Linked DNA regions of Drosophila melanogaster. The protein of the gene in region 3 interacts with the protein of the main gene of each other region in a pairwise test. Each region holds a gene or a part of one and is shown on either strand. Other genes may lie near its edges.

What was found.
Region 1: the proteins of Prm (region 3) and Exo70 interact in a two-hybrid assay, tested with the Drosophila melanogaster proteins (one large-scale study listed by BioGRID).
Region 2: the proteins of Prm (region 3) and CG9297 interact in a two-hybrid assay, tested with the Drosophila melanogaster proteins (one large-scale study listed by BioGRID).
Region 4: the proteins of Prm (region 3) and CG18259 interact in a two-hybrid assay, tested with the Drosophila melanogaster proteins (one large-scale study listed by BioGRID).

Annotation. Positions count from the first base shown.
Region 1 is NT_037436.4:8,410,016-8,416,458, forward strand, and holds Exo70 (exocyst 70), read left to right. Parts: upstream 1-1,835; 5' UTR 1,836-1,945; coding exon 1,946-1,993; intron 1,994-2,031; exon of another isoform or gene 2,032-2,046; coding exon 2,047-2,212; exon of another isoform or gene 2,213-2,282; coding exon 2,283-2,794; exon of another isoform or gene 2,795-2,810; intron 2,811-2,996; exon of another isoform or gene 2,997-3,059; coding exon of another isoform or gene 3,060-3,713; exon of another isoform or gene 3,714-4,088; intron 4,089-4,202; coding exon 4,203-4,267; intron 4,268-4,329; coding exon 4,330-5,060; intron 5,061-5,119; coding exon 5,120-5,442; intron 5,443-5,511; coding exon 5,512-5,645; intron 5,646-5,700; coding exon 5,701-5,803; 3' UTR 5,804-5,895; downstream 5,896-6,443. Other genes in the region: Oseg1 (outer segment 1), read right to left, coding at 1-1,028, 1,100-1,330, 1,414-1,478; mtrm (matrimony), read left to right, coding at 3,060-3,713; CG32354 (uncharacterized protein), read right to left, coding at 5,965-6,443. UniProt on the Drosophila melanogaster protein: Required for exocytosis. Thought to function in intracellular vesicle targeting and docking before SNARE complex formation.
Region 2 is NT_033777.3:13,769,666-13,774,516, forward strand, and holds the start of CG9297 (uncharacterized protein), read left to right. Parts: upstream 1-1,829; 5' UTR 1,830-1,912; intron 1,913-1,931; exon of another isoform or gene 1,932-1,984; intron 1,985-2,202; exon of another isoform or gene 2,203-2,356; intron 2,357-2,506; 5' UTR 2,507-2,684; coding exon 2,685-2,745; intron 2,746-4,269; coding exon 4,270-4,353; intron 4,354-4,646; coding exon 4,647-4,851. Other genes in the region: Cht5 (chitinase 5), read left to right, coding at 1-144, 225-428, 708-863.
Region 3 is NT_037436.4:8,742,300-8,746,982, reverse strand, and holds the start of Prm (paramyosin), read left to right. Parts: upstream 1-1,672; 5' UTR 1,673-1,897; coding exon 1,898-2,020; intron 2,021-2,651; coding exon 2,652-2,708; intron 2,709-4,559; coding exon 4,560-4,646; intron 4,647-4,683. UniProt on the Drosophila melanogaster protein: Paramyosin is a major structural component of many thick filaments isolated from invertebrate muscles.
Region 4 is NC_004354.4:18,780,753-18,785,070, reverse strand, and holds CG18259 (uncharacterized protein), read left to right. Parts: upstream 1-1,576; 5' UTR 1,577-1,695; coding exon 1,696-1,775; intron 1,776-1,837; coding exon 1,838-2,358; intron 2,359-2,415; coding exon 2,416-3,157; intron 3,158-3,213; coding exon 3,214-3,295; 3' UTR 3,296-3,806; downstream 3,807-4,318. Other genes in the region: CG6891 (uncharacterized protein), read right to left, coding at 3,877-3,993, 4,067-4,318.

The DNA.
Region 1 (6,443 bases), 330 kb from region 3:
CCACCATTAGTCCTTCTCTTCCCACGGGGCCACCGGTGACTTTGATGTATCTTATGAACGAGTCCATGATCCACTCGCGCTGCAGGACACCCATGAAATCCAGACATTGGAGACGCTTCTCCTGGCACAGGACAATGTGACGGCCACAAACAACCAGCAAGCTGCAGTCGAACTTTTGCTGGATCTTCTCGCGCACTTTATAGTGCATGGGTTGATCCTCTCCAGAGCTCAGCTCATAGAGAACCACACGTTCCGGCAACTGAACCGCCAGTCGATTCCGATAAATGGCTATTTTCTGAACTAAATCTCGACACTTGATGCGCACCTTTTGGCCAGAGATCAGGTGCTGAATGATCACGTCGCACATGTTTTCCCGGAAGGCATAGCGCTCGCGGTAGAGGGCATGCACGGTACTAGACGCAATGTTGAAGCAGGCCAGGGTTCCATCTTGACACCCAATGGTGTAGGATTGACCATTGGGATGTAGGGCAACTGTCCAGATCCAGGTGTCAAAGGTATCGCCCAACGTACCCAGCCGAATGCCCTCCCTGGTGAAGAAGTGTAGACCTCCAGTGCAGCCGCCCACCAGGCAGAACTCCCCATTGGGAAAGTACTGCAGGCACAAGGGATCAAAGCCCAGGGTTCGCTCCTTGCCAATCATCTGGCCGCTCAGAGTGTGAAAGGATAGCGTTTGGCTCCAGTCCACCACACCGATGGTGTCCACACTGCCAGGACCGCTGGCCGGACAACATTGGACACTGAAGACGTTGCTGTTGGGCCCACCAGGCCGATCGATTCTCCCCTTCTCCTCGCCCAACTTGTTCCTAATGGATATGGTGCCATTGGCCAGGCCCAGGATCAGGTACTGTCCATCATTGGTCCACGAGCAGCCATTGACACGCGCGGATATCTTGTACTTTTGCACCGCCTTCTGATCAGCCGACCAAAAGGCAAAATCCGACAAGGAGCACGAGGCCAGGTGGTGCGAAACAGGATTGAAGCTCATGCACTGTATGGAGTCACCGTGCCTATGAATGTAAATATATTTTTATATTTATATAAAAAACTAGAATTTATTGCAAGTGTGCTGAGAACTCACGAATACTTGAGCAGTCCCTCAAGCTGAGGTGACCACACGATGACCATTTTATCGGAGGCTCCGCTGGCGAACCGCTTGCCATCCCGCGAGTAGGCCACACAATTGACCGTATCCTTGTGCGCCTTCAAGGTGTTCAGCAAGGAGCCATCGTTTGGATCGTAGATGAGCAACCGATCCCCCGCAGCCACCACCAATTGGCTGCCATCGGGTGCGTAGCACACATTGTGGACACTGGAAAATTGGGTTTTGCAAATACCGTTATGGCGTTATAGCAAGCAACAGGTTGTTGTTTTCCACGAATGAGAAAGCTTTACCTGATCTCATTGTCTTTGCTATTGGGAAACTCTATGCGTTCCAGCCACTTGAGAACACCCCTCATTGTTGCAGAAGTCGAATTGGCTAATCCTGCATAGTTGGTAGAAATTCCTAAATGCAGGTGCGTTGTTTACACACAGATTCCATGGCAACCAACCACAACAAAAGTTGGCGTCTTGGCTGGAGATGGCAGTTTGGCGGGTTTTTCCGTTAGTTTTGGCTTTTAAAACTAGGACTTGACTAATAAACTAGTACTAGTAGTAAAAACAATTTATTTAAAACATAGCCTCATTATCGTTTACCTAATTGTCTAAGTGTACAATATTTAAAAAAAGTTTCTATTACTATCTGAAATGACCGTTATAATTTTTTTTTTCGTGCAAAGTAGTTGGCAACGCGGTAATTGACAGTATGACCAAAGCCAGTGTGCATAAATGCCTAGTTTCGTCAAAACAAAATAAAATAGAATTGTTTTTTATATCAGAACTATTGTTTGTTTTTAAAGGATTTTAGCTACATATACGCTTGAAAATGAACAATTTGGACAGTTCATTGCAGGCGCACAATAAATTGGAGAAGGTATGTCTAGTTGTCATGCTCAAAACCTCCATACTTACCCATTTTCCTCATAGGAAGCCACCAATTTAGCTCTGCTGAAAGATCGAGTGGATAAATACCATGATCTGTCCACGCAAATGTCCAGTATTCTAACAATCTTCGAGAAGCGCCTGGGAAACCTGGAGCAGACCATATTGCCCGTCTACCAGGAGACGGAGCAGCTCCAGAAACGGCAGCAGAGTATGAAAATAAACTCAATGGGATTTCAAAAAAAAAAAACTAATGTGTCACCGCCTCTTTTTTTTTTTAGATCTGGAAGCTACTCTCAATTGTCTGGAAAGCGTCCTGTCCCACTACGATGTCTCCCAAGAGGTCTGCCAGTTGATTCATCAAGGCCCGGTGGAGGGAAACATCTCGGTGTTCCTCGACGCACTAGCCAAACTGCGCGATGCCAACGATTACTTCCGGCACAACAATTCCCAGAGCGTGGAGCTGGAGAATGTCACCAGTTTGTTTAACACCGGCTGCGAAGGCCTGAGTCAGCACTATAGTATGCTCCTCAAGAAGCACAGTGCTCCGCTGAAGCCGGTGGAGTTGCTGGATCTTATCTACATAGAGGACGATTCCAGCGATGAATACACCTCATTCCGGCAGCTTTCGCAAACGACGCGCGAGGAGCTGTACACCATATCGCACTGGTTGGAGCAAAATTTAAGGGAGTACACAAACATCTACGCGACGGAACGGGGCGAAGTGGTTCTCCGATCGCTGCAGCTGCTCAAGGATCACCAAAAGAGCAACAGTTGGGGTCACGAGGCTCTGGTGAGTAAACAGTTCTTTCATATTCTAACTAGTATTAATACATATATATTATGTGGAGAAAAATAGTACGTAGTAGAATATGAATAGCGATGTGTACGATGATGAGCATATGTATGCTTTTCCCATCTCTGATCGTTTCGGTTAACGGTGTCTGTTCGAAAAAGCTTGTGCATGTAAGCATTACATGTCCAATTCGATGACCGCCATTTGCCAGCTTGAATTCGCAAAGAACGCATCATTTTCTGTGTCACAGTATCTAAAAAAAATGGAGAATTCTCGCACGCCCACGAACAAGACCAAAATTACGCTTAATCGCACGCCAACGCTAAAGGAGCGCAGATGGAACACCCTGAAGGTGAACACCTCCAACGTGCGATGCTCTACTCCGATCTTTGGCAACTTCCGTTCGCCCAATCTCTCGCCCATCGAGAATATGGGCACGAAGGGGAAGAGTCCAGTGTCGCCCATGCGGTTCGCTACCTTCAAGAAAGTGCCAACGAAGGTGCATCCCAAGCAGCAGCAGCAGCAGCAGCATCAGCACTGCCATCGCACTCAGCTTAAGCCCCCGCCATTCGTGCTGCCCAAGCCGCAGGAGGAGATCATCGAGCCGGAGCGAGAAATAAAGAGCTGCAGCAGCCCGGATACCTGTTCGGATGACTCGAATATGGAGACCTCACTGGCCTTGGAGTCGCGTCGTCGTTCCATCAAAGCATCGAACCACTCGTACGTGGTTAACCATGCCGCCAATGTGGAACAGATTCTCATGCACATGGGCCTGGAGAACTATGTGACCAATTTCGAAGAGGCTCACATCGATCTGGTGGAACTGGCATCCTTGGAGCGTGCTGATCTTGTTAAAATCGGCCTAAATACCGATGAGGATTGCAACCGTATCATGGATGTGCTCCACACTCTTTAAGTGAATCGCTGGCATGTCCATCTTTTATCATACACTAAGATTTTAAAATGTTTTATGTGAAGAGAAACTTTGTGATTTTAATATATGTGGATAATTAAGTAGGTATTCTAGAATTATTGTAAAAGACCTGGTGTCTTAAAGCTCGTCGTTTTTAGCCTTAAATAATAAACTCTAGTACACTTTAAGAATCTATGTAATTCCTAAAATGTTGCTCCGAAGCTCATTTACAAATTTAAATTTATTTCGTAAGCTAGCAAATTGCATAATACTTTTTGTCAAAAAAAAAAAAAAAAATTGGGGTATAAACGCTTTTGTAAAACACACATTTTTAAAATTAATAAACTCATAAGAATCAAATGCATATTAAAAGGTTACAAAAATAAGAGTTTTTAATTTGCTACCATTTTAGTACCTTAATTATTCCGAAGAAACATTAATGCAATGGCAATTAACAATTCAAATTAATGTTTTTAAAATGTTTTCTTGCAGAGACCGCGACACAGTGGACGCCAAACGGAGCCAAAAAAGACAACCTCCGCTCGTCTTCAGCAAATGTGAGAAATATTACTTAATTTCCAAGTTTTCGTATATGATATATTTAATTTATTCTGCATAGATTCGAAAAGAAGGCGAACAAGTTATATTTACGCGCGACGCAGACGATTGAGCAGTCCACAGGGTTCTCCATTAAGAAGGCATCATCGCACAGCGACCACCTGACCTCCGAGGATTTGATGGATGGCGATCAGGAACTGGACAAGTATCTGGTCATGTTGCTGGGACTGCAGCGGTTACTTAACTGGGAGCGAGCCATCATGATCGACATTATTCCCCAGTCGAAACACAACGAGGTATTCGCCACCTTGGCCTATAATGCCATCGATCTGGTGGTTAAGGACGCTGAGGCCATTACGCAACGCATCCTGCGCTGCATTTCCCGCAAGGAGTGGACCTCGGCGTTGGGAATATTCTCCGCCCTAAAGCGGGTTATACTGCTGCAGCCGGATATTGACCGCACATACGATCCTGCGCAAAGGGAACAGTTGAAAAAAGTACTAAAAAAGTTGCAGCACACCGGTGCCAAGGCATTGGAGCATTTCCTGGACGTAGTCAAGGGCGAATCGAGCACCAATATTGTGGGCCAAAGCAATGTTCCAAAGGATGCCACCGTGCACGAGCTGACCTCCAATACGATCTGGTTTATTGAGCACTTGTACGATCATTTCGATGTTATTGGTTCCATTTTGGCACAGGATGTCCTGTACTCCACGCAATTGGACACCATTTTGATGAAGAAGGCGCTGCCAGTCGAGGAACGCAATAAGGCGCTCTTGGCGATTTACATAAGTGAGTGGCAACAAGATCAATTGTGCGAACATTTTTAAACCACTATCTATATTTTGCAGAGAAAGCTTTGGCCGAACTGAATCTTTCCATAATGAACAAGTGCGAGCAGTACAATGACCAGGCCACCAAGCACCTCTTCCGACTAAATAACATTCACTATATCCTCAAGTCGCTGCAACGCTCCAATCTTATTGATTTGGTCACCTTGGCTGAGCCTGAGTGCGAACATAGCTACATGGAGATGATACGTGAACTGAAGGCTAGCTATCAAAAGACCTGGTCCAAGATGCTGGTCGGCATCTATTCCTTGGATGAACTGCCCAAACCAGTGGCCGGCAAGGTCAAGGATAAGGATCGCAGTGTGCTCAAAGAGAGATTTTCTGTAGGTTTTTATTTTTAAAATAAGCTAAACTTTCTTGATTTAAAAAAAAACATCCTCTATAATTTCCAGAACTTCAATAAGGACTTTGAGGAGGCATGCAAAATCCAGCGGGGCATCTCCATACCCGATGTGATCCTGCGAGAAGGCATCAAACGTGATAATGTGGAGCACATACTGCCCATCTACAATAGATTCTACGAAATGTAAGCGTATATAGGGTTTATCAGCTTATACCTAACCATCTTGTATCATTTTTAGTTACTCTGGAGTGCATTTTAGTAAGAATCCCGACAAATACGTCAAGTACAGACAGCACGAGATCAACGCTATGCTGAGCAAGCTCTTTGATGATTCGGCTTAGATGTTAAATGCAGGCCAGGCTTTAAGTGCATTCCTTGTAAGTTCGTTGGGGGGCTTTAATTCAAACTCAATAAATATCGTTTTAAAAAAAGTACAATACAAGACTATAGCCTACAAATATTAAATGCCAAGTGAAATGAAGACGCCACGCATACATACGTCCTAGTAAAGGAAGTTAGTGGATGGTGCTTCGGGGCGGCCACAGGCGCCGTAGTAGTTGACGTTCACCGTCTGGTTCGCCCTGCAGTTTTCGATCTCCAGGAAGCAGTCGTTCAGATACGTTTTATTGTCGCTGCCGCAAACAGGCTCGAATTCCCTGGGACAGATGCGGGCACATCCTTTAAGCTGAAAGGCGGCAAGGCAGCGCTTCAGTGGCACCACGAAAACATGCTTGCCACAATTCTCCTTGCGCATGTGGCACTCGGACTTGTACAAGTTGTTGTCCGATCCGCAGACGAAACTTGGCGGCTGGGCATCACAATCCGATTCGCAGTCGGCGGTTAAAGCGCAATTCTTTAGCGAAACGGGCACCACACGCAGATCGCAAGTGCGCCGCTTGAACTCGCACATGGAGGCGAAGGTGTTGCCATCCGAGCCGCACACTGGCTGCTGTTCCAGATCCGCCCGAGTACAGGCATCCC
Region 2 (4,851 bases), on a different chromosome or scaffold from region 3:
GAGGGCGCAGTGGTGGCACCAACTACTAGCACTACCAAGCGGCCAAAACCAAAACCGAAGCCAACTTCAAGTCCATTGAGCCCAACATCCGCTCCAGGTCCTGTTCCAACTGTTGGCAGTAGCACTCCGAAGCCAACCACAAAGGTAAAGCTTAACTGGTTTTATATTATAGATAAAGTTTTTCTTTAATATTTTAATATTTAATATTTATATCATTTCTATAGAAGCCCAAAAAGCCAAAGAAGACAACAACCACCACAACAACCACTCCTGCTCCGGAAAAGAGCACTGAGGAGCCAGAAGAAGTTGTTTACCCAGTGGATCCAGTGGAGCCCACTGATCCCGAGCAGCCTATGGGACCGCAGTTCGATCCCAACGAGATCGATTGTACCAACCGTGACTTTGTACCACATCCCAATTGCCGAAAGGTTAGTATTTAGGATAAGAAGTTCTTCAGAGCTAATAGTTTGAAAAAAGTAGTGCATACTTCAAGGCGATGGTATGTATTTTGTATTTGGATGACTTATTTCGGTTACCAAACTAAAATGTATATTGTTGCCATGAAATGAATTGGCCTTTTATTTTAAATGTTCAATATAGATACAAATAAATGTGTTTTTTGGAATACGTTTATTTTCTAGCACAAACACTTAATTATAAAACTGAAAAAATCGTATTTAAAAACAATATTTCCAAAATTTCCACAGTACTTCCGCTGTGTCCATGGCAAGCCCGTTGAATTCGAGTGCAAGGAGGGAACGGCCTTCCACACGGTCCTGAATGTCTGCGATTGGATCGAGAACAGCGACCGTTACTACTGCAGTCGAATGAAGAACAAGGAGAAGGGCAACGAGGCCCATTAACTGTCCCAAAATATATGCATAAACTATTTAAAACGAAAAATTTTAGCATAGGTTTGGAATATGTCTAGTAATACTTAGAACTAGGTATCTAAGTATTTAAAATGAATAGCATCTAAGGGTCATAAAGTAGACCAGACGAGACGAAAACCATAAAAATAAATATGATTTTAAAATCCAATAAACCAAGAACTAAATGAGCCGTTCAATAGATGTATGAGCCATCATTTCGAGAATAAAACAATGCCCGATGAGGCAGATCGTGTCTTACATAACCATTACGCATACGTAATGCACCCCGGCCTGCCGCAATTTTAGATGGGGACTTGCCATTTCTAATTAGGCTAATAAACGCAATGACTTGGGACAGATTTGCACTTGTCCGCGGCGAAGTGAGGTGGGCTGCACCAGAACTTTTAGCCTTGGAACACAACCAACGAACAGCTGTTGGTGCAATCAACCATATAAGCGAGCAATGATAAATGCTACAGCGGAATGTATAAGTTCAATCCCTAACATTTGGTTTTCATAATCTCAACTCATGTGCGGAGAGCTTGAGGGAAATGGAACCTAAGCACTTGTGACACGAAACAAATCGCAAAGGGGCCAACGCTTTGATTTCGAAATATTCTTTTTGGCTCAAAAGATGCTCTGAGTAATTTGCGGAATGAGCACCGCATTGTCTATAATTAAACATTCCTCCAAAACGAAAGTGCCGAGAGAGAAAGTGATCTAGAGCTACGAAAATATCTAATCATCAATATCTAATTAAAGTTTACTAACTGGTAATAATATATTTCAGAAATGTTGAAAATAATTTCCATTTCCCATAAACCCATTAATCTCCTCAAAGGTTTTTTGTCACGTATCCGCCGGGTTGTACCCAAAATCCCGGCAGAGAGCGCCGCCACCCGGCGAGAGGAAACCGAAATAAAAATGAAAATTCAAATCAGGCGAATGTGAAAAGCCACTCACTCACTCAACTGTGTGTGCTTTTGACAAAAATTCGTGCTACGAAAATATCAAAATCGAATAATTTTCGCGGTCACAAGGTAAATTCATGGTATATGCATGTTGAGTTACGAATTGGTTTTGGACCGGGAGAGATCGTCTCGTATACTCGTGTACGGCAAACCGAAATTTCCTTCCTTCAGACATTCAGACTAGATAGAAAATAGATGTGATAGGTGTTGGGAAAATTCGAGCTGCCCTGTTCAAAAAACGACACGCACACGACGTGCACAGACGACCCAAACGAAAAGAAAAGACGACCACGACGGCCAGAAATAAGCAAATTATTTGGCTAACAATCGTCGAAAGGGACACTAAGGATTACCCAGCCGACGATTGTTGGTTAAATTTTGCCAACGGCAGCGCGAAAACTTTCTAAATCCATAATCTAAGATATTTAATTCTAAATCAAAATCCATCGATCTGCAAAGTGAATGAAATAACGAACAAGTGCAAAATTGGAAACTGAAACTGTGACAAAATTTGTGCGAACCCAATTCAATACCTACTCAGATACTTATATATATCCATCGGACTTCCAAAAAAACACACATATATATCCAATTCATTCATCCATTGGCTCTCTGGCCTTAAATAATCGTTGGTTTTCCCAATTCTTCATCCTTTTCATTTAGTGCATTTAAACGAGCGCATATATAGCGGATGCATATATATGCAGAATACGAGCAAAAGTGTTAATTCTAATTTTCCCTAATTATTCATAATTACGGAAAACTTGTAAGGAGGATTTATGACGTGGCTAAAGTGCTAACCACGCTGGAAACTCGAGGATAATTTGTTGTGTTGATTATTATGGGGCGGCTAACCATTTGGTTCCTACTGGGACTAACGTTAATCGCCGTTTCCAATAATGGTAAGTACACTTCGAATGTTTTTTGCAGTGTATTACCCCCAGTTCCTCCCCGCGTTATATAAGGCAAAAGGGCGAGTTGGCACTTTTCGAATATCTTGACAGTTTTTCACACAGCCTGGGCAGGCATTATGCAATTTTAAAACAAAAAGCCAAGAAAAACAGAAGAAACGAGTCTGAAAAAAATATGTATTAATATATACGTTTAAAAATATTTGCCTGAGTTTGTGCGTTCTCTATACATTCTCTATTTCTTTTTTTTCGGGTCGGTATTGGTGTCTGCAAACGTCAGTGGACGACACTTTGAGCATTGGTATATTAGTATAGCCCCGTACACTTGACTTGGCCAACCAACTAGTGGCAGCACAGATACAGATACAGATGTATAACTTTTGCCGATTTTTCCTATTTTTTTTTTCTTAAGAGAACTGAGAATTTTTGCGCTTGGCCGCTCATCGTTGTCATCGTTTGTAATATTTTAAATTTAGATATTTTTAAGTTATTTTATTTGCGCTCAGCGAGTGCTTTCCATTTATCTATTTTCCCGCCTGTGTGTGCGAAATGTCTCTCTATATATTTTGTTTGGTTTGCTCAAGTTTGCAAAACAGTAAAGAAAAAGAAAAAATTGAATGATAAATGAGCAACGGCACAAATGCCGTGTACTATATATTATGGGTTAAGATGGGCTCGATTGCAGCAACATAAACACAATATGCAGGCTGGCAATCGGTTGGCAGGCGAAATTTGTATAAATAATTCTATCAATGCGGTTAGCAATGAAAAATACGAAATTGCTCAAATAGCTTCCGCCCACATACGCCCAGAAATAAATCAAAAGAATTATCCGCCGACAAGCAAACTGCACACTGAAAACTGATAGGCAAACTCATTTAAATCGCAATTAATTGAGCTCAGGTTGTTGGCAGATATATGTACGAATATCCCTCTAATCTCTCGACGACATTTGTCCCAAGTGCCTGAAAATTCCAAAGTAATTAGCCAAGCGACCTTACCATACTTTCAGTCCACCAATCACTCAAAACGCGACCTTCCATTACCAAAAAGCAAATGCTGTGGAAAGAGAATAGAATGTTCCATTGCAAATGGTTCGCCCCCGCATCCGGATTTTTCGGAGCAGTAAGGTGGCCAAAAGAAACAAAAACTGAAGAAGTAAGGCCAAAGTGGGCGAGCAGCCAACTGAATGGTATAGAAATTTACTCATCCACAAACTGGCAAAATGTGTTTGAGTTTTCATCTTTTAAAAATAAAATTCATAAATCCGCCACATACATATATATATATATTCCGAAGTGTGTATGTTTGCTTTCGACGAGTACCATAAATAATGTCAAGTTTGAGCAGATAGAATGACCTCGTTGATGGCGGTGACATCAAACCGAGAAAGTGCGACCATTGTTCTAGGATGGGGCGGTTGGAAATAACTTGGACTTTCCGATATCTGGGCTGTATGTTTGGATATACTCGTATTACAAATTGACCTGTCATGTTCTCTTTAACGATTTTCAGTTGGGTTTGTCAATGCCGATGTCGGACCAAGCGAATCAGAATGTCGACCCTACATTGAAAAGGCTATTCATGAATTGAAAACAGGTAAGGGCTATCTTGAGTATCTGAAGAATTTCAATTGCGTTAAAACCATCTTATGAATTAATAATATAGTTATTAAATCTGCTCCTTAATTGAATGATTCATCCTAAAATTTCCATGTTTTAAAAAACTCAACCATCAACATTCATACACGTGTACGTGTTAATAAATTGTATTAATAGACCAATTAACATATAGCTACAAATCAACGTCATATCTTTTTAAAATATAATGAAAATCCTTTTAGCCATTTAATTTTTTTTTATTAATCTATCGGAGTACTCATACGATTTCAGATGGTGTCAGGGATGGATCTGGAGAACTGCAATCCGATCAGCCACGTGGGGACGACGACGATGACGACGATGATGGTGGGCATTCTGCGGTTGATGAGAAAGATACGATTGAAATTGAAACTGTCGAATTGGATTCCACAGAGGACGCGAAAAGTGCCAACGATTTGGATGGAGATGGAATACCCGATGACGAGGACGATGATAT
Region 3 (4,683 bases):
GCATAAAATAAATAAAGTTATGGCCAGCAAAGAGCCAAGTATCTAAAAGATACGAATGCGAACGGAGCAAGAAACTGCTCTAATATATAAGGATGGTTAGCCCATCTAGAGCTCTAGATGTGTGCGTCAGTTGGCCTCAGGTGAAATGTGTGTGGAAAATGAACACGATTATGAGCAAGCCGAGAAAAAAGGCACAAATAACACGAAATTCGGTTGCTAAAAATAAGCGAAAATTCATTTTTAAGTATAGTTAGGCAAATGTGTGTTTGTGTGTGGAGCACAGGTGGAGGAGATCGCTCGAAGACGAACGAGAATTTTCACTCGAAAAGCTTCGGTTCCTTTGGAAAAGTGAGCCAAAAATCGCCGAACGAAGCGTGTTCGCAATGTAACAGAAATTATTTACACAATATGTATTTACTATGGGGGCACATGGAGAGACCCGTCAGTTGCCAAAAAGATATAATGCAGAGACAGTCATCTACGTGACCATTGAACAACAATTGTTAGATGACATCGCATTGTCTGAGGCTGAGCAGACTGCTGTCCGCACGGCCAAGGATTCACTCAAAATTGTATATTTTTGTTTATTTCGCACAATTTTTTTTCACACACTCTCTACGTCTATTTATTTATGCTGGCGAATAACACGTTTCGATGCCAAAAGTCAAGTATTTTTAGAAAACATTGCTGTAATCCTAATTGGCTGTTAGCGAATAATTTAGAAGGCATATCATAGAAAATTTTGACACTTTTATGATTTTTCTGCTTGTGTAAAAATGTTGTAATACCCCTGAGATCTGTATAGCATATATATTTGGGCTCTATATTTGGCTGGGGTTTCATGCTCTAGCCTCTTTTCTTTTTGATAATAATATATGCTAAATCAATTTGAAATCAATCGATTCAAATATTTACATATATAGTCTCTAACGCTTAAATGTATTCAATATTCTAGATGTTCTAATGTTCTAGAAACCGTTTCCAAAAGTCAAATCATTCTATTTAAGTTTGCTCCCAGAATTATATCTCAATCTTTATAGTCTAGGGACTACGTGCTGGAATACTGGTTTGGCACTACCTTTTAAATAATATCCGAGGCCCCTGAACCAAGAAAATGTGCCAATAAATATAAATTATGAACTTTATGATCTGCAGAGGATGCCAAATATTTCAACATGACTTATATGTATGTACGTTCGAGAATTGGGAAAATTTATGTGTAGATACATTCTGGCCAGACGCTAGATACACAAAATGAAACGCACAAATGACACAGGCTAATTACAGGTAAGCAATAGAAAAGAAAAGACAAGAAAAGCAGGCGTACTTCGTGTTTTTGAGTTTATTTTCGTAGGGGGCAAGCTCTCAGGCAAACTAGCGTGAAAATGCGTTCACACAAGCTTCGGCCCAAGTGAAATGAAAAATCAAAGAATTTTCCACACAACTGAGCAATTAACACAACAACACGGCCGCGTGAAAAGTCACTCGAAAGTCCCACTCACATTCACATAGGTGGTGGTGGTGGCTTATAGATATATCTCAGGGTATATCCCACTCGGATCCGATCGGCGGGGAGCCGATGGCGCCCGACGGCGACCGAAGGCTCCCGAAGGGAACCGAATAAATCGTTGAAATAGACGAATTCAGCTGGCAGGCCAAACCAATTCAACGAAATACTCTTTATTCGAACGACAACGGGATCTCTTGTTCAGTAGATCACCAGCCTTACTCCGACGTTTATTACGAATTTTCTCGGTGACTCGGTGACAACTACAAAACTGCGTGCGGTGCTGTATAGATTTTCGCTTGAGAGGAACACACAAATCATAATACTAGATACGCGAACCGATCGCACATTAATTTATAGAACCAAAATCGAAAATCTGACCTAGCAAACATGTCGTCATCGCAGGCTGTCCGCTCCTCGAAATACTCCTACCGTGCCACGTCCACCGGACCCGGTACCGCCGATGTGAACATCGAGTACATCCAGGACCTGAGCTCGCTCTCCCGCTTGGAGGTAAGGATCCCGTCCCGCTCCGTCTCGGAATCTCGAATTCGAATTCGTAATTGGAAGCGGACCGGTATCGTTTAAGAAATCGGCATCGTATTGGGCACCAAATCCCCAAAAAGACGTTGGAATTCCGACCAGGGAATAGGAATACGAAATGCGTGTGCGCCAAATTTTCTTCAAAATCTACGAGAATTTCTCTCTCTTGTTTCGGTGTCTGTGTAGAGACTGAAAAAGAATCGGAATATAATCAAGAAAAAATACGAAAAACAAACTAAGAAACCCGAAAAATTCATCTACACTCTATATCAAATGCACATATATACCGTAGATATATATTCGTGTGTTAAGTTCTCGGCGCGTTCTTGTGTGTGGAAATATAGAAAATTCGGTGAAGCAAAATTCTAGATTTGTATATGTATCTAAACGTGTCTGTATATACATATGCATTGCTAAAAAATTATGTAATGGCCACCTCTGGGCAATACATATACACGAGAAAACATCGAAGAAAAATTTGTGAAGAAATCAATCAACTGTGCTGTAAAGTGCTTTTTAATGAATGTTTTAATCAAATAATATGAAATAACGAGCCCATAAAAGATCAAACTCAATAAATGTATCCACCATTTTCTTGCAGGACAAGATCCGTTTGCTCCAAGATGATCTTGAAGTTGAACGTGAGTTGCGCCAAAGGGTGAGTCATTCAATATGGAAATATTCATAATTTTAAATATTTTTAAGTTATTTTTGAACCGAGTATTTTTAAGGTATTACTATAGGTTTCTTTGGAATATTTTTGAACATTCTTAATTTATTGAGAGCATCGTTTTTAGTCAATAAGATTATTTGCTGATGAAATCGGCGTCAGAGATATGACATATCCGAGGAAGTTAGAAAAGATCAGACCGCATTCTCCGAGACCCAATGGAAATCAAAGCGCCAGGGAAAACCATTTTTACTTTTTTCACCTCGCAAATGTCACCCTAAAAACAGCAAAAATATGTGGAAAGCCAAAATAAAATCAAAATAGACCAAAGTAGCAGTAGCGATAGAACCGATAGAAAAGTCAGCAAACAAATGCAAATCTAAGAATAAACTACCCTTCGTAGAGTTTCGAAAGTGTGAAAGTAAATGATAATGATGTGCATTGAACTTCAATCGCTTTCGTTTTTGGCTTTTCCTTCCCTGCGGAGCATTGATAAATGATTTTTCCCCTGACTTTGCAAAGACAGCGGCCGCAAAGACAGCAAAGTCAGGAACAGCCAGAGAAAAGTGGGAAAATTCGCAGGCCGAAAGTGCACTTCATTCAGCGCAATCCTCTTGGGCGTTACAAATTTAGAAAATGCGAAGAGCTCTTGCCGGAATGGAATGGGCTGGCCAGGAATGTTCTGAAAATTTTGTTAAAAAATCAAATTTAATTACTTTGTGCCTTATGGATTAGCACGCACTCGCACACAGATACAACGCCCCCCAACACACACTCACAATATATGGAACAAAATGGCTAAAATTAGCGCACGACATTCAATACAGAGAAGCGAATGATTAACTTGAAAACAACCAAAATATGAGCAGAGAAGAAAAGAAAATAAAGTAGCCAAAAAGTCATCATCATCACCATCTTCATGATCAGCGGCGGCAGAGAGGAAAATTCGCTCGCTCACTACGGGAAAATCTTCGCTTTTTGTCTGTGGGCGTGTGTCTGTGGGAAAATTAAATAATTTTCATGCACATTAAAAGTCTTCACACCGCCTGGCATTCTTTCTACATATCCACATATGCATATATAGGCGGCAAAAACATGTATCTACAAGATACATATGGCGCAAATGGATTTACGGCCCGTACTTACGTGGCCTTTGTGGCAATCGGCAACTTTTTGTTATGCCAAATGAACGGACAAACACATGTTCGCCTAGGTATTATCATAAACATAAATGTACAAACATATTCAGCGAGAGATTTAAAAGAGATTTATCAGACCAATACGTTCTTTATTTAAGCTTGGGGCATTTCAGTTAGCTGAATTTTTTATGATTGCTTCGGACAGCTCCAAATACCAGAAATCCCAATGGCCGCACATAGCTTTCATAAAATAGCATTTAATTGCAATTCGCAAAATTGACCAAACGAGGTCGTCGACAAAGGCGAAAAGCAAATGTTTAGATTCCGAGGGAGCCAACAAAAAATGTTTCTGTTCAAGCGAAAAATGTTCGAATGCCTTTTTGGAAATGCAATCTAGGAAAGCGGTGTGCGGCCGCCCACAAAAGATATATACGCATATATAGACGCATATATCGTGGATGCAATCGGACTATGGCTACACCTCTGCGTGGAAGATTTCTTGGCAAGATGCCATTGTTATTTTAGGTGTTGCATGTGCATAATTATTTTTGACTGATTAATGTGATTTATAATTTTTATTATGGGCTGTTTGAGTAGCCACAGAGCATGGCTAGCGCAGGGTATTTATAGATCCTTCACATTATACCAAGTCGCTAATGAAATCTCTTCTTAATCTCTGCTTATATTCTTCAAATTTCAGATCGAGCGCGAGAAAGCCGATCTCAGCGTTCAGGTCATTCAGATGTCCGAGCGTCTCGAGGAGGCCGAGGGTGGTGCTGAACATCAAGTGAGTACCATGTGGTAAACCAATATTGCAATCCAGC
Region 4 (4,318 bases), on a different chromosome or scaffold from region 3:
GGACGAGGATACGATAGTAGAGGAGCATCAACAGGCCCTTGGGAGTAGAGCTGCACTGTTTTGCAGACGATGCGGCAATTACAGCAGTCGCCAAAACAATTGCAGAGTTGCAGGACAAATGTAACACCACGATTGGAGCTGCCGTCCACTGGAAAGCCGGGCTAGCAATAGCGGCTCGCAAGACCGAAGCAGTAAGTACTAAGCAGCAGGAAAAAGGTGGAGAATATGCTAGTCCTCTGTCAATGCGACACAGGTGACCTCCCAAGAGTCCCTCAAGTACCTGGGTGCTATGATAGAACCACGCGAGTTACGGCAGCAAGAATGCATCAGTCACAGTTTCTTCATTGGCTAGACTGGTGCCCAACATCGGTGGTCCAAGCTATCTGGCCAGGAAACTGGCTTCGCTGCTGTACGCTGCACCAATCTGTAGCAATGCTACAAGCAGGGGTTCATACCTGAAAGGAGCCATGGCCCTCAGGCTCATTAGAGGATTCAGGACAATATGTGAAGACGCGGCACTAACTCTGGCAGGCCGCCAATTGATCGGAGATCAAGGCTCTCGGCCTAAAGCGGGGTGGCGCTTACCGACGAGTGGCTGTTGGGTGAGTGGCAGAACAGGTGGTCTTACCAGCTCATTCCTGAGTCGGCGGTTTGGGCAGAGTGCCAACACAAATGCTTGGACTACCACCTAACCCAGTTTCACACGGACCATGGCTGCATTCGGGCCTATCTACGTCGATTGTTCTGCGTCATTTGTGAGAAAACAGAAGAGCATGTGCTAATGCACTGCTCCAGGTTTGCGATGGAGAGGGAGCAGCTAAAGACGAAGTCAGGTGCTCCGTTCAGCCCTAGTGGCTTGTTCGCAGCTATATTGGCAAAGAGCGAGGCATGGGAGCTGGGACACAGTCTAATCATTAAAATGATTAAACGTGTCCGATCAGACGAGATGGCCAACAGAGAAGGTGGCTAAACCCGAACAGGTGTCCTGTGTGGTGGCGAGTGAAGAATACTACCTGAGCGTTCCCGGCTTGTCGTAAAAAGCGACTAAAGGGTGAAAAGAGGCGCACTCATGGCCTACACTGAAGGAAGAGAGTGTGAAGCCAAATTCTGTTCATCGAAGTCATACAATGGCAGTCCCGGTGAGCGTTCAAGGACTGAAGAGCACACGGAGGTTTTTGTTTTAGTATGTGGTGTTGTTTTTGTTGTTGCGCAGGTATCAGTGTTACCAGACCAGACGTCGGCTAGCACCTAAGCGCGATTGTTCTCGGTTGTGCGAAGGGGCACACTGTGAATTAGTGACTCGTAATGTCAGTGGATAAAACGTATTATGTAGCTTAATATATCATTGACAGTTCTGAGAATTTTCAATCTTCTACAAACTAATGTTAAGACATGCAAAAATTGTTTTTGTAAATGAACAAGTAGTTTAATAGTATTAATCGTATATTTGTATAAGTGTTAGTATATTGCTGTTTCTTTTTTACATTTTATATCCAGAATAACATAGATGTTTTTAAGCGATAGTTGCTATCGATAGTGCTGGACGATAGTTTGCCACCCCAAGTGTCACCAGTGAAACGCCAGTCCTATTTTTTTTTTACGAACGTAGTTCGAATAGTCAGGATAATTTGAATCTGGTTGTTTTTACTTCACACATAGCTTAGGAAAAGGTGTGAAAAGCGTATACTGTGAGCCATGGACATCGATTTGAGTCTGGACGAGATTATAGAGCGGAAGCGCGGGCAACGCGGCTATCGTCCCCTCGACAGAAAGTTGTAAGTACATTTACAGGACAGCCGAAAAAATAGAATGTCACTCAATGCGTTTTCCATTGCAGCAATGCGAACTTCTCCAAGCCGCGCCAGCTGCTGAACAAGCCTTTTTTCAAGCCATCGGGTGCCCGAGGATCTCACTCTGATACGCCGGCAAAGCGCACCTTCGATGCCAGAAACACGATCGCCGCGAAGACACGGGCCAAGATAGCCGATGCCCGGGATCTGATCAACAAGAGCGTGCGCGACTCGGGCATCGATGCCCGCCAGCTGTTGCTGGAGCGAAAGAAGGCCCGTTCGGCGGGCCCAATACTTATTGATGACGAAGAAGAGTCGTTTGAGCCATCACATCGCGCACGCGGAAAGGGAGTGCACATCGGTCAGTTTGGTCACCGCCTTAGCATGTCAAACCATGCGGACGGCACCATTCAGGCGAAATGGGACTCGGACGACGGGGTCGTTGAACTGGGTAACCACATGTTGTCCGGCTTGCGTCGAACCTTTGACCCCAGATCCCATAAGCCGGGCAAACCCTTTGCTCCACGACGCTATATTGATCTTGATAATATGCAGGACCTCGAGGATGGTTAGTTAGTGCCTTTCTCTGCCAAGCCGTTCCTAAAAAGCACTCTTCTACTTTCAGAGGAAATATCTCGCACACTGCACTTAGGGCAAATGAAGCAAGCGTCGCCACGCTACTCAATTGGTGGGCTCGACCTGAACCGCGGCGACGACGTGGAGATGTCCATGGCCCCACTAAATAACAAAATAGATAACAATGCATTCTCCATTTACGAGGCGGCCCGCAATCGCATTGAGCGTCCTTCGCTGACCAACCGACTCGTAGTTGGACGCTCAAATACCACCAAGGAGCCTCTCGAGCGCCGCCACCGCGACACAGCAAGCACAAGTAAACTCCCAGAATCGCTGCGGTCTCGTCTGTTTGTCGGTAAGAGGGATCCTCACATTTCTCATGGCATCTACGCCAACGAGAACCGGAGAAAGGCTGTTGGTGGCGGTGGTGCTAGGGATAGCGATAGCGGTACTGATAGTGATGGTGATGCAGCTGCTCCATCGAAGAACAAGCGCCGTTCGCCATCCCCATTGTCGCTGCGTACGTCGAACACAAAGGATGGATACCGCCTGCTGGTGAGCAATCTGCATACTAACGTGACTACTGCGGATATTCGCGAGCTTTTTAGCGACATCGGCCCAGTGTACGACGCTCGTGTGGTGCGTCCCGGCACCGCCGAAGTTATTTACAAGTCACTGGAACATGCCGAGAAGGCCGTAGATACCTATCACCATCGTCAGTTCGATGACCAGCCCATGCACTGTGTGCTGGTTAATCCGCACTCCTCCCGTCGCTCGGTGCACAAAGCCAGGTGAGTGATATGCTTTAAAGATACCAAGCAGTATTGTTCAACGTTCTCGGCCGTAGCTCTCGCACCGTGACCACAAACTCGTCTGGCGTGGAGGTGGACATCGATGCACTTCACTCGGTACTCTTCAGGGTCCGCTAGGAAGCGAGAGGCAGAGCCCGGGAACTAAAGCAACTAGATAATTTTTCTCATCATTTTCATCATCTCCGTAGTATTTAGTTCAACAACGTAGTCCATTTTCATTTCGCGCTTATTAAATTCGAATCGATCCATCCAGCGTATGTTCAGAAAACCAGACTAGTTTAAACGAGAACATTTCTTTACTATAGAAACTTGAATTTTCTAATGCAAATTCTGGCATATCTGTCCACTTCAGTATTCAGTATTAGGTGGCTAAAATTTTTGTCTTATCATCAAAGTAATTCATCAGTCCCACTATATACACAATTAAATGTATGGCATTGATAATGATTTTGCATCCGCTCTTGAAATTTGGTATTGAAAACTTTTCTTTTACCTTTTTTGAATGACACTATGGATTATGATTATACGATAAATAAGAGGACCCAGTAATGTTACAATTGCTTGTATAATATTTCATAAAATGTACAGTTTTTAAATTTCATAAAATTAATTCATAATAATTAAAGAGAAAGGAGCAGTTTGGTAAGCAGTTAAGAGTTGCAAAAAAAAATGTATATGTAAAGTAACTTGGAGGCCGCTTAGTTATCCCGGATGCCCGTTCCGTAGTTGGCGCCGCCGGCACGGTTCAGTGCTTCACGGAAGAGCTCAATGTCCAGCTCGGCCTCCACTCCCGCCTGAAGTTCCACGGCAAAATTCTGCAAGAGATTAGAGATGAGAGGATCTATTTCTGCCTCTGGGCTCTGGCATCTCTAGCTATTGGCTACTCACGTTGAGGACATCCTTGATCAGCGCCTTGTCCGTGGACATCTTGGCCCTCTGGATGACGCCCACCTCCTGCCCGATCCACGTCAGGAAGATGAACTTTTTGCGCTTGGACATCTCGTCACCCATCTGGATGCGTATGTAGCCAAAGGCGCGCTCCGAGTCGCCGAACTGCTGTCGGAATTCCTCAAAGCACTGACCGCGCGCATGTACAATAATCTGGGCGCCATCGAACTTGAATACCGCCCACTCGGTGTC